3 linked regions of the Saccharomyces cerevisiae S288C genome follow. The gene in region 1 interacts genetically with each later gene. Each region holds a gene or a part of one and is shown in the gene's direction. Other genes may lie near its edges. The genes, in order: TRP3, PXP1 and MSH4.

What was found.
Region 2: mutations in TRP3 (region 1) and PXP1 together harm fitness more than expected from each alone (negative genetic interaction), as found in Saccharomyces cerevisiae (2 studies listed by BioGRID).
Region 3: mutations in TRP3 (region 1) and MSH4 together harm fitness more than expected from each alone (negative genetic interaction), as found in Saccharomyces cerevisiae (2 studies listed by BioGRID).

The regions. Positions count from the first base shown.
Region 1 is NC_001143.9:36,172-39,882, reverse strand, and holds TRP3 (bifunctional anthranilate synthase/indole-3-glycerol-phosphate synthase), read left to right. Parts: upstream 1-1,729; coding exon 1,730-3,184; downstream 3,185-3,711. Other genes in the region: E1 ubiquitin-activating protein UBA1, read right to left, coding at 1-720; phosphatidylinositol-3-phosphatase SAC1, read right to left, coding at 3,469-3,711.
Region 2 is NC_001137.3:118,098-122,052, reverse strand, and holds PXP1 (putative indolepyruvate decarboxylase family protein), read left to right. Parts: upstream 1-1,753; coding exon 1,754-3,436; downstream 3,437-3,955. Other genes in the region: EAF5 (Eaf5p), read right to left, coding at 1-582; SUMO ligase MMS21, read left to right, coding at 752-1,555. UniProt on the Saccharomyces cerevisiae protein: Catalyzes a carbon-carbon cleavage reaction; cleaves a 2-hydroxy-3-methylacyl-CoA into formyl-CoA and a 2-methyl-branched fatty aldehyde.
Region 3 is NC_001138.5:133,901-139,121, reverse strand, and holds MSH4 (MutS family protein MSH4), read left to right. Parts: upstream 1-1,964; coding exon 1,965-4,601; downstream 4,602-5,221. Other genes in the region: YFL002W-B (gag protein), read right to left, coding at 1-918; VTC2 (vacuolar transporter chaperone), read right to left, coding at 4,826-5,221. UniProt on the Saccharomyces cerevisiae protein: Involved in meiotic recombination. Facilitate crossovers between homologs during meiosis.

The DNA.
Region 1 (3,711 bases):
AATTCTGAATGCAAAGGGCCCCAAAACCTCAACTTTAAAAAGGGTCCCATCATTCAACTTATCAAGACCTTCTACTTCGGAGAACCTGACAAAATTTCCGTCTTCCAACCCGTGTCTGTTATCATCTAGCATGGTCACTGTTCCATCGGGCTCGATGTCTGAAACCATACCAGTGCGAGGTTCTTCACCCGTTGGGTCCAACACTGTGAACTCGTCACCTAGGTCTACGAAGGTGTTACCAAACAGCCCTCTTGTCTCCGAGGAAATGAATCTAATACCGGAGGAATGGCAAAATTCGTTGATTTTCACCTTATCTTCCAAAGAAACAGTGTCCGTAGCGACAACGACCTGGAATTGACTCAATTGGGTAACATCGTCTAAGGAATCCAGCACATTAACCGGGACATATGCGTTCAACTCTGCCAATTTGGCTCTGGTCACATCTCCTCTCTTTTGACCAATATCCTTTTCGGTCAAAAAGAATTGGGTTGATAAGTCTGCCAATTGAACCGGCTCAGGGTCAAAAACGGTCATAGATTTGACACCTGCCAACACAACGTTCTTCGCTATCTCAACACCTAGCCCCTTCAAGCCGAGAATTAATACGTTGGAGGTTTGCATTTTCAACATTGCTTCCTTACCCAACACATAAAGTTGACGAGAATAAAGACTTTCATCGATTTCTCCGGCGGCAGAGAGACCACTATTATTGCTGCTCATAGCTATAGTTATATGTTCTTTGCTTTGCTACTAATCTTACTTTTTGTTTGCTTATATCCAGCGATTGGCGGTTGCTCATCCTACTTAAAGGCCCTTTTTGATCATTTTCTTTTACCTTTATTTGCCACCCGCACCTTTTGTCACACTACACGAGAATATGCCGCATGGAAGCGTAATGGCAATTCAAGAAAGAGCTCTAATATTATTTACAATCACATGAATACAAGATCATAGCTTAACAAGGAGTGGATAGTCAGTAAAGGCGCCCTAAGCTCTACTAAAAACTGGGCTTTAAAAGATGTTCCTCGTCACTTGAGAATCTGTTGTCCCTATCTGGTTCCTCATCATACAATCCACTCCATCGTTTCTCCCACCCTACTACAAACTAGTGAGGCGAACGAGAAAATAAGAAACACTAAGGCTCGCTTTTCCTGCTGGACAGAGACATGCATTAGTGTTTGTTGTTCTCGCGCCAGTCGCTGTTTTTGCTTGCAAGTGCGACGTCCTCTTCTTCTTCTTCTTCTTTCTTCTTTGAGATGCGTAACAACACAACTACATTTTGTATTTTCCTCCCTTTTATACTCCTCCGCTGGAGTATTTTTTCGTATTTTTCACTTTTTTTGCTTCTTATAGGCCTTTTTGAACTATTTTCTGTTAGGGCTTAAAGAAAGCGCAGCAAATGGCTGATTTTAAATGCTGTTTTCTCGAAAGCAATGCTGATGATGTACCACAAAGTAGTATTTGCGCTTAGCTTGTCGATATAAGTATGCCTTTGAGCCAGTATTAAACTTCCTACTATCTCTTCTGGACCTCACCGTGCTATTCATATCACTGACGACGGAAAATGCCTCTTGTAGTAATCATTGAATGATCATCAATGGCTCGTTGACTCATTCTAATCTATAGCAGATATTAAGGTACGCAAAAAGTTCGACAAGGAGCTGGTCAGTATTAACACATTACCAAATCTGTTTGGTTCTACATAGAACGCCATAAAAGTAAGAAAAAAATGTCTGTGCACGCTGCAACAAACCCAATCAATAAGCATGTGGTTCTAATTGACAACTACGATTCCTTTACCTGGAACGTTTACGAGTACTTGTGCCAGGAGGGCGCCAAAGTGAGCGTCTACCGTAACGATGCAATTACAGTTCCAGAAATTGCCGCCTTGAATCCCGACACATTGCTTATCTCGCCTGGACCAGGCCACCCAAAGACAGATTCTGGCATTTCAAGAGACTGTATCCGGTACTTTACTGGGAAAATTCCTGTATTTGGAATCTGTATGGGCCAGCAATGCATGTTTGACGTATTTGGTGGTGAAGTTGCCTACGCTGGTGAGATTGTCCACGGTAAAACGTCCCCAATCTCTCACGACAACTGTGGAATTTTCAAGAACGTGCCGCAAGGTATTGCTGTGACAAGATACCATTCATTGGCCGGGACAGAATCGTCCCTACCATCCTGCTTGAAGGTTACTGCGAGTACCGAAAATGGAATTATCATGGGTGTAAGACACAAGAAGTACACTGTAGAAGGTGTGCAATTTCATCCGGAATCCATCTTGACCGAGGAAGGTCATCTGATGATCAGGAACATTTTAAACGTCAGTGGAGGCACTTGGGAGGAAAACAAATCATCTCCTTCAAATTCTATTTTGGACCGTATCTATGCTCGGCGTAAAATAGACGTCAATGAGCAGTCTAAAATCCCAGGTTTCACCTTTCAAGACTTACAATCTAACTATGATTTAGGTCTTGCCCCACCGTTACAGGATTTCTACACGGTGTTGTCATCATCCCATAAAAGAGCCGTTGTTCTTGCTGAAGTCAAGCGTGCCTCTCCATCGAAGGGACCCATTTGTTTAAAAGCTGTTGCTGCTGAACAGGCTCTCAAATACGCAGAGGCTGGTGCATCCGCAATTTCCGTATTGACCGAACCTCATTGGTTTCACGGTTCGTTACAGGATTTAGTAAATGTGAGGAAAATCCTAGATTTGAAATTTCCTCCCAAGGAGAGGCCTTGTGTTTTGAGAAAAGAATTTATTTTCAGCAAGTATCAAATACTAGAAGCAAGATTAGCTGGAGCTGACACTGTCCTTCTTATAGTCAAGATGCTATCTCAACCCTTATTGAAGGAACTGTACAGCTACAGTAAAGATTTGAACATGGAACCTCTCGTTGAGGTGAACTCCAAAGAGGAATTACAAAGGGCTCTAGAAATTGGTGCTAAAGTTGTAGGTGTCAATAATAGGGACCTGCATTCATTCAACGTAGACCTAAATACCACCAGTAACTTGGTAGAATCTATTCCAAAGGATGTTCTTCTAATTGCTCTATCGGGAATTACCACCAGGGACGATGCTGAAAAATACAAAAAAGAAGGTGTCCATGGATTTTTAGTGGGTGAAGCCCTAATGAAATCAACCGATGTGAAGAAGTTCATTCATGAATTATGCGAATAATTGAAACTTACACGGTACAATAGGGAAAAAAACTTAACGTTGTAAGGGCGAACGCCTTCATGTATAGTAGCCTATAGAAGATATATATATATATATATATATATATATATGACCATGAAAGATAAAGTAAAAAAGAAAATAAATAGCTTGTTCTTCCCTCTGGGGCCGGCGTTCATTTTTTTATTTTTTTATTTTTTAACTTACTTTTTTTCTCGTTTTTATCATATTTTCGGTTTTACGTTTTGGATTTACAATAATCATCATTTTATCACATATAGAACTCATTAATCTCTTTTTAAAGGATCCGGCTTGGAAAATTTAGGACTCTGTGCATATTTCAAACCTTTGAATTGTTGTTCTTTATCATGCGTTTGATGAACGACCAAGAACCCAACGTCTACTAACTTAGGCCAGTTGACAAACTGAATACCGTTCTTAAACATGAATTTGGTTGAAAGCGCCAAGACAATCGACGCACCTGCAAAATACAGCAAATTCTTACTGCTGGTAAATCTATCTTTAGGAAA
Region 2 (3,955 bases), on another chromosome or scaffold:
ATTCAGAACGGTATCTCTGTATAATTTCAATAGTTTTTCTCTTTTTGGGTCCATTGAATGCGCCATGTGTGGCGTAGTCGTAGTTATAGTAGCACTGGTACCAGCAGATCCACTTTTGCCAGCATTTGCATGTGGTTGCAGTTGCGATGCACCGGTCTTTATACCGTTCTTCAATATCTCATCCTCCATCATCCTTATTTGTTCGACCTGCGTTTTCTTGAATCGATCGTACTTTTCGTCAAGGAGCTTCTCGATATCATGCATTTCCAAACCGTGTAGACTAAGTTGTCCATCGTTTAGTGTTGTTCTGTACTCTGGGAATAAATTCTTAACTATGGTCAGGATATCGTTGATGCCCAGTTTCCTGTTTCCATTTGCCACGTTGCTTTGCCTTCTTAAATTTGTCAGCTCGTTGATTAGCAAATTGTTTTGTATTTCGTTAGTCAACTTGACTAGCGATATTCGAAGATTATTCCCAATCATGTTGATTCCTCCCCCGTTCCTAACCAGTTCTTCATTCTTGTTGGAAATTAAAGTGTGTATTAGCTGCAACACTACCAATTCACTTACCTCTTTATCCATCTATGCGTTCCTTTGATTCTGGTTACTCCGGCACGCAGAAGTATCTTTTTACCAGTGCTTCTCTGGTTATTTTCTTCCTCTTTTCCTGTGTAGAAAAAAACTTGCTAAAATAATCGTGTCAGTTAAAGAAACCAAGGCAAGACTATATAAAAAAAGAATAACTTTAAAAATGGCCTTGAACGATAATCCTATACCCAAGTCAGTTCCTCTACACCCAAAATCAGGTAAGTACTTCCATAATTTACATGCCCGAGACTTATCAAATATATATCAACAATGCTACAAACAAATTGATGAGACCATAAATCAATTAGTGGATTCTACATCTCCTTCCACCATCGGCATTGAAGAGCAGGTCGCAGATATTACTAGCACCTACAAACTCCTCTCGACATACGAATCGGAATCCAACTCATTTGACGAACATATTAAAGATTTAAAAAAAAATTTCAAACAATCCTCAGATGCCTGTCCGCAAATCGACCTTTCTACCTGGGATAAATATCGTACCGGAGAACTCACCGCTCCCAAATTATCTGAATTATATCTAAATATGCCCACACCAGAGCCTGCAACCATGGTTAATAACACAGATACACTCAAGATACTAAAAGTGTTGCCGTACATATGGAATGATCCAACTTGTGTAATACCGGATCTGCAAAACCCCGCAGACGAAGACGATCTACAAATAGAAGGTGGTAAAATTGAATTGACTTGTCCTATCACCTGCAAACCTTACGAAGCACCATTGATATCAAGAAAATGTAATCACGTCTTCGATAGAGACGGCATTCAAAACTATTTACAAGGATACACGACAAGAGATTGCCCGCAAGCAGCGTGTTCTCAAGTCGTTTCAATGAGGGATTTTGTAAGAGACCCTATTATGGAACTAAGGTGTAAGATCGCCAAGATGAAAGAATCTCAGGAACAGGATAAAAGAAGTAGTCAAGCCATCGATGTTTTATGAAAACAAAATTATTGTTTCTCTTATCCGAGCCCTTCGGCCCGAAGTTCAAGCAAAGCTAACTAAAGAAAAAAGTTGGAAATTTACAAAAGGTTGGTATATAACCACATTATATATAAAGGAAAAAAAAGGCATTGGTTACTTTTATGTGATAAGAAGAATATACTCTCTACATTCAAACCGTCACAACCATCCATCAATATGACCACGACCGCTACCCAACACTTCGCTCAACTTTTACAAAAATATGGCATCGACACAGTCTTTGGAATTGTGGGCATCCCTATTGTCCAACTAGCGGATACGATGGTTGCCAACGGTATCAAATTCATTCCATGCAGGAACGAACAGGCTGCCTCATATGCAGCCTCTGCTTATGGTTATATTAGTGATAAGCCCGGCGTGTTACTTATTGTCGGGGGCCCCGGTTTAATCCACGCACTGGCTGGTATATACAACTCAATGAGTAATAGGTGGCCTCTTCTAGTAATTGCAGGGAGTTCTTCTCAAAGTGATATACATAAAGGCGGGTTTCAAGAGTTGGATCAAGTTAGTCTTTTGTCCCCATTTTTGAAGTTTACCGGAAAGTTAACCCCTGACAATATTGACATGATTACTCAGAAGGCTTTGAATTACTGTATACAAGGCACTGCAGGGGTTTCTTACATAGACGTCCCTGCAGATTTTATTGAGTATGAAAAACCCTTAGAAGGAAACGACCGTACAGGAAATGAATTACCGATGATATTAACTCCAAACATATGTGGCCCTGATCCGTCGAAGATCAAAAAAGTCGTACAGCTTATTTTGCAACATAAAAATAAAAATATTCTGATTGTTATTGGAAAGGGTGCGGTAAAAAACTCACACGAAATCCGCAGACTAGTAAATACGTTCAATCTACCATTTTTACCCACCCCAATGGCTAAGGGAATTGTCCCAGACTCTTCTCCACTGAACGTTTCATCTGCAAGATCTCAAGCATTGAAAATAGCGGATATTGTTCTTGTTCTCGGGGCAAGATTAAACTGGATATTGCATTTTGGTACTTCACCCAAATGGAACTCAGAATCCATATTCATCCAGTTCGATTCCAATCCCGAAACCTTGGGGGATAACAATGTCTCACCTGGTGCTGACCTTTCCATATGGGGAGATATAGGCTTGAGCGTAACCGCTTTAGTTGAGGAATTGACTCGCCAAGATTCCTGCTGGAAGTATAGTGGTGTTAAGCAAGAAATACGAGAGAAAATTCAACTGAATCAAACTCGTCTATTGAGGAAAGAGAAGACTAGAGGGGCACAATTGAATTACAACCAGGTTTATGGAACATTGAGGCCTCTTATCGATGATTACAGGACAATACTTGTGACGGAGGGAGCAAATACTATGGATATTGCGCGTATTTCATTCCCTACAGACGCTCCAAGGCGCCGTTTAGACGCAGGGACCAACGCGACTATGGGGATTGGGCTCGGATATGCTCTTGCATGCAAGGCATCTCATCCGGAACTCGATGTGGTGCTGATTCAGGGTGATTCCGCATTTGGATTCTCTGCCATGGAAATTGAAACGGCAGTAAGGTGTCAGCTGGCATTGGTCATCGTTGTGATGAACAATAGCGGTATTTACCATGGAGAAAAGGATATAGAGGGTGATTTACCTCCAACGGCACTAAGCAAGAACTGCCGTTACGATCTCGTAGGCAAAGGACTGGGTGCCAATGATTTTTTTGTCAACACAATAAGCGAACTGAGCAGATGCTTCCAACAAGCCGTGCAGCTTTCTCGGACTAAAAGAGAAACAAGTGTCATCAACGTTATCATTGAGCCTGGCGAACAAAAGCAAATTGCCTTTGCCTGGCAGAATAAACCGCGTTTATAGTAAATATGCATGTATATATATATATATATATATATATATGTTCATCTCTCTTATAGATGTCAATCTAAATACTTACAACACACATTAATGAATACCTCGTATACGTTTAAGGGCAAATGTACTCTCGCAGAAGGAAATATTGCAAGTAACTTGGATAACTAAAGCCGAGTTAAAGATCTGCCAATTGAACATAACATGGTAGTTACATATACTAGTAATATGGTTCGGCACACATTAAAAGTATAAAAACTATCTGAATTACGAATTACATATATTGGTCATAAAAATCAATCAATCATCGTGTGTTTTATATGTCTCTTATCTAAGTATAAGAATATCCATAGTTAATATTCACTTACGCTACCTTTTAACCTGTAATCATTGTCAACAGGATATGTTAACGACCCACATTGATAAACGCTAGTATTTCTTTTTCCTCTTCTTATTGGCCGGCTGTCTCTATACTCCCCTATAGTCTGTTTCTTTTCGTTTCGATTGTTTTACGTTTGAGGCCTCGTG
Region 3 (5,221 bases), on another chromosome or scaffold:
ACAGGCCAATCTGTCGCTAACATTGATATTGTTTTCTTTTAGCCTCTGAATGATCGTACTGACTGTAATTTCAAATGTATCAGCAGATGTACTTCCGTCGTACTCAAGGTTGGCAAGAGCTATCCAATCCTTTAATTCTTGATTGTTAGTTTGCATTTTGGACACACTTTTACAAAGGACTGTAAGGATGTCAGCATAATTAATTTCTAAAATTTGTTTTACCCATGTTGGCAATAAATGAAATGGGGCAAATGCTTGGAAGGTATTGTATATATACGCATGTTCTTCATAAGTCATTTGACTTTTGATTTCACCCTGGTCATTTGGAATGATGTCACCGAGATTAGAGTTCTTCAAAAATCTGATGTAAAATTTAACCCATGTAGAAAAGTTTTCTTCTGATGTTAAAGTGTGTGGTGGTAAGACGTTATTTCTCACCTTTGTCTCAGCTTGAGGTACTTCAGAGTGTTGATTCTGTGAATCGATTGGATCAGGTGAGGAAGTACTCAGTGGTGGGATATACTGTGGCAACGGATAGTGTGGGTCCGGTTGATAATACGCAGGTGACGTTTGATAATGTGAACACGTCATCATAGACGGTTGTTGGTAATGTGCCCAGTTAGAGGCCATAGCTTTGTTTGGGGTCATCATGCCGTGCTGTTGGTACTGTCCATTCTGTGGAGGTGGTACTGAAGCAGGTTGAGGAGAGACATGATGATGGTTCTCTGGAACAGCTGATGTCCCAGGTGTTGTCTCTTGTTGAGAATTAACCTTAGTGGAATCTCTATCAAATTCCGGTAAATTGGAAGCTGAAACGGCTAACGGATCTTGATTTGATGGGACTTCCTTAGAAGTAACCGAAGCATAGGCGCTACCATGTAGAGAATGTGGATTTTGATGTAATTGTTGGGATTCCATTTTTGATAAGGCAATAATATTAGGTATGTAGATATACTAGAAGTTCTCCTCGAGGATTTAGGAATCCATAAAAGGGAATCTGCAATTCTACACAATTCTATAAATATTATTATCATCATTTTATATGTTAATATTCATTGATCCTATTACATTATCAATCCTTGCGTTTCAGCTTCCACTAATTTAGATGACTATTTCTCATCATTTGCGTCATCTTCTAACACCGTATATGATAATATACTAGTAACGTAAATACTAGTTAGTAGATGATAGTTGATTTTTATTCCAACATATACAGAATATGCTAGAAGTTCTCCTCGAGGATTTAGGAATTCTCAAAATGGAATCCATATTTCTACATACTAATGTTAGACTATTCCGTTTTATATGTTTCATTATCCTATTACATTATCAATCCTTGCATTTCAGCTTCTTCTAACTTCGATGACAGCTTCTCATAACTTATGTCATCATCTAACACTGTATATGATAATATATTGAATAACTATTAGTTGATAGATGATAGTGGATTTTTATTCCAGAGGTTTGCGATGCCTTTGAGAAATCAGGATTGTTTTGGTATGGGATGACATTGTTTTACGTAGTCTATTCCGTTTTAAGAGTTGCAGAACTCAAAAGTGACTGACTCCATGGCCAAGTTGGTTAAGGCGTGCGACTGTTAATCGCAAGATCGTGAGTTCAACCCTCACTGGGGTCGTTTTTTTATTCAAAATCAGTTTCTAAGATTTAGATTTTATTGTATCATATCTTTTTCCATACTGAAATCGATTAAAGTTTTTATGTGTTGCATCTGTATGAGAGCAAAATCTTATTTAGTCTCCTCTTTTCTGCTATGAACCAGTTTATTATTTTTTTTTAATTCGCGTCTTCATTTCCTTTTCAAATCCCGAACGTACAGCTTTCATACATATAAGGCATCAACGAAGAATAGCAAAAGAGCAGTTGGATTTTACTTAAAGTGAAACATATAAAAATAACTAGTTATAGCATTGAAATCTGTAGCTGATCAACGCAAACTATATGCAATGAGTGAATCTAATCTATCTAGTTTTATCAGTACAAATTATTTCAATTTAAGGTCGGCGGCTAATTCTTCAAACTCTATTTCGAAGCCAAGTACGAAAAAGAGTATCAGGAACCAAAAATCGCCAACTAACATAAGTAGTTGGGCTCTCAAAAAGAAAACGCTACAAATAGCAGAGACAACATGGGAAAACAATGAAAAAGATTCAACACATAGCCATTACTTAATGACTGGATCAATGGCCTCTAGGACCGCAACCTCCTTAAGTCGATACAGCACCAACGCTTCACTCCTCGGTCCTAGTATTGACTGTGTTCTTTGTTGCATATACGAAGTGCCAAGAGACATAAGTACGCGGATTGGGTTATGTATTATCAACTGTAACACGGGACAGATGTATCTTTCAGATTTCATGGATTCACAAATTTACATTCGTGTAGTTCATAAACTCCAAATTTACCAACCTACGGAAATACTGATTCCAAGCAGTTCTCTAGCTCCAACAGTATCAAAATTAGCGACAATGATAAAATTTAATGTGGCCGAGACAGTTAAAATTGAAGAGGGTTCACGAAAGTGCTTCAATAGCCAAGATGGACTGGCGGCGATTACAAAGTATTTAATGGATGATACAAAAAAGGACTTGAAAATCGAGGAGATTATAGATAAAACGTTTGCTCTTTGTGCTGCATCTGCTGCGATAAGCTACATGGAAGAGATTATATCCAAAAGCAGCCGAAATTTGAATGCGTTTCGAAAACTACGTATACAGTTTGAAGGAACAGAAAATACAATGCTGATTGATTCTAAAACCGTCAGAGGTTTAGAACTTGTAGAAAATAAATTGGATAAGAATGGCATATCACTATGGAAGTTCTTGGATACCACGTCCACTAAAATGGGACAAAGATCACTTCGGAACAGTATACTGCAGCCATTAACTGATAGGGGCAGTATCGAAATGAGACTAGAGGCCCTAGAAGAATTGAAAGCCAATGATGACCTTCTACAAAAATTAAGGCTAGAAATGAAATCATTGCCTGATCTAGATAAGTTATTTTCAAGGTTATTATGCATTAATCATTCTGCAATAAAACCTGACCAAAGAATTAATTACGTTTTGTTGCTAAAGGAAACTTTACAAAGCGTGAAGTCATTGAAAGACGCACTTAATGATCAGTTAATTCAAAGCCGTTTAATTAGCGAGACCAAAAAAATATTCAATAATGACGCAATTATGGAAATTGAAAAATTAATTAATAGTTGTATAAATGAAGACTGTGTCTGGGCATCCTCAGCTATACAACTACTTAACCAACGTTCATATGCTGTGAAAAGTGATTCCAATGGGCTTTTGGATGTTTCTAGACAAATCTACAAAGAGGTAAAAGAGGAATTTTTTCGTGAGGTAGAAGATCTTACCGCTAAAAACAAAATCAATTTAGATCATAATTACGATTCTGCACGAGGCTTTTATCTCAGAATAAAAAGACAGGAATTTACCGATGACGTCGCTACACTTCCAGACGTATTCATTTCAAGAACAATAAAAAAAAATTATATTGAATGTACAACCCTAAATATAATAAAAAAAAATGCGAGGTTGAAGGAAGTTATGGAAGAGATTTTACTTTTAAGTGAAGAGACAGTTGATGAACTGCTCGATAAAATTGCAACCCATATTTCTGAACTATTTATGATTGCAGAAGCAGTGGCTATCCTGGATTTGGTTTGTTCATTCACATATAATTTGAAAGAAAATAATTACACAATACCGATTTTTACAAACAATCTACTAATTCGAGATTCAAGACACCCACTACTTGAAAAGGTACTAAAAAATTTTGTCCCTAACACCATATCAAGTACAAAACATAGCTCCAGCTTACAAATCATAACCGGATGCAACATGAGTGGAAAATCTGTTTATTTAAAACAAGTTGCCCTTATTTGCATAATGGCCCAAATGGGATCAGGTATACCGGCACTTTATGGGTCTTTTCCTGTCTTTAAACGTCTACATGCAAGAGTCTGCAATGACAGTATGGAATTAACCTCATCAAATTTTGGTTTTGAAATGAAAGAAATGGCTTACTTTTTAGATGACATAAATACAGAAACACTGTTAATTTTAGATGAACTTGGTCGTGGTTCAAGCATCGCTGATGGGTTTTGTGTGTCTTTGGCAGTAACTGAACATTTACTTCGAACGGAGGCAACGGTATTTCTTTCTACACACTTCCAGGACATTCCTAAAATAATGTCTAAGAAGCCAGCAGTTTCCCATCTTCATATGGATGCAGTCCTTCTCAATGACAATTCTGTCAAAATGAATTATCAGTTGACCCAGAAATCTGTCGCAATAGAGAATAGTGGAATAAGGGTGGTAAAAAAAATATTCAACCCGGATATTATTGCAGAAGCGTACAATATCCATTCGCTTTTGAAAATTGCAAAAGCAAGGACTGAAAACGAAGATTCAAATGGCGTTGTTGATCAAAAGACCATAAACCAAATGAAGAGAATACACAATCTTGTAGCGATATTGAAAGAATGTGCAGGAAATGAAAAAGAGCCCTTGACTTTAGGGAAATTAAAAGAAATAAACTCCGACTTCATCGAAAATTTTGAAGAATAATTTGGCTTTTCCGCTTAGCTTAAAACTATAATCCATTATTTCTGTACAGAGTTATCAAAAACCGGAGAAAATGATGTTTATGTAAATGCATTGATATTTATGAATGATTTAAAACTTCCCCTTAAATGTGATTTCTAAAAGTAAGCAATTGTTAGCAGATGATAATTTTTTGCTACACATTACAAACATAAAAACACATGGTCTCAGTAGATAGAGTACATATTCTAATCACTGCTTGGCCCCATTAACTTGAATAGATAATTTTGAAGTGGCCTTAATACTTCTGGTATTCTTTCAGGAACTTCTAAATTCTGTATTTGCAACTCTTGACGAGACTTTGCTGCATTTCTAAACGCCATAACAAAATTAACCACTAAAGTGACAAATAAAACTATAGAAACCAAAACTGGACCAAGTGGTGCATCTAGATGTTGACCGCTTCTTTGTTGAATAATATCAACTCTTTTCATATAAATGGAATAGGACCATAAAGCACAGAATATCGTTAGACCAAAATATACGTATGCCATGTAGTTAGCCAAAGTGGGGTATTCGGCTTTCTTCACAGAATTATAAATTGAGAACGTCAAAACACTCAATAAACTGGTGACACTTAACCA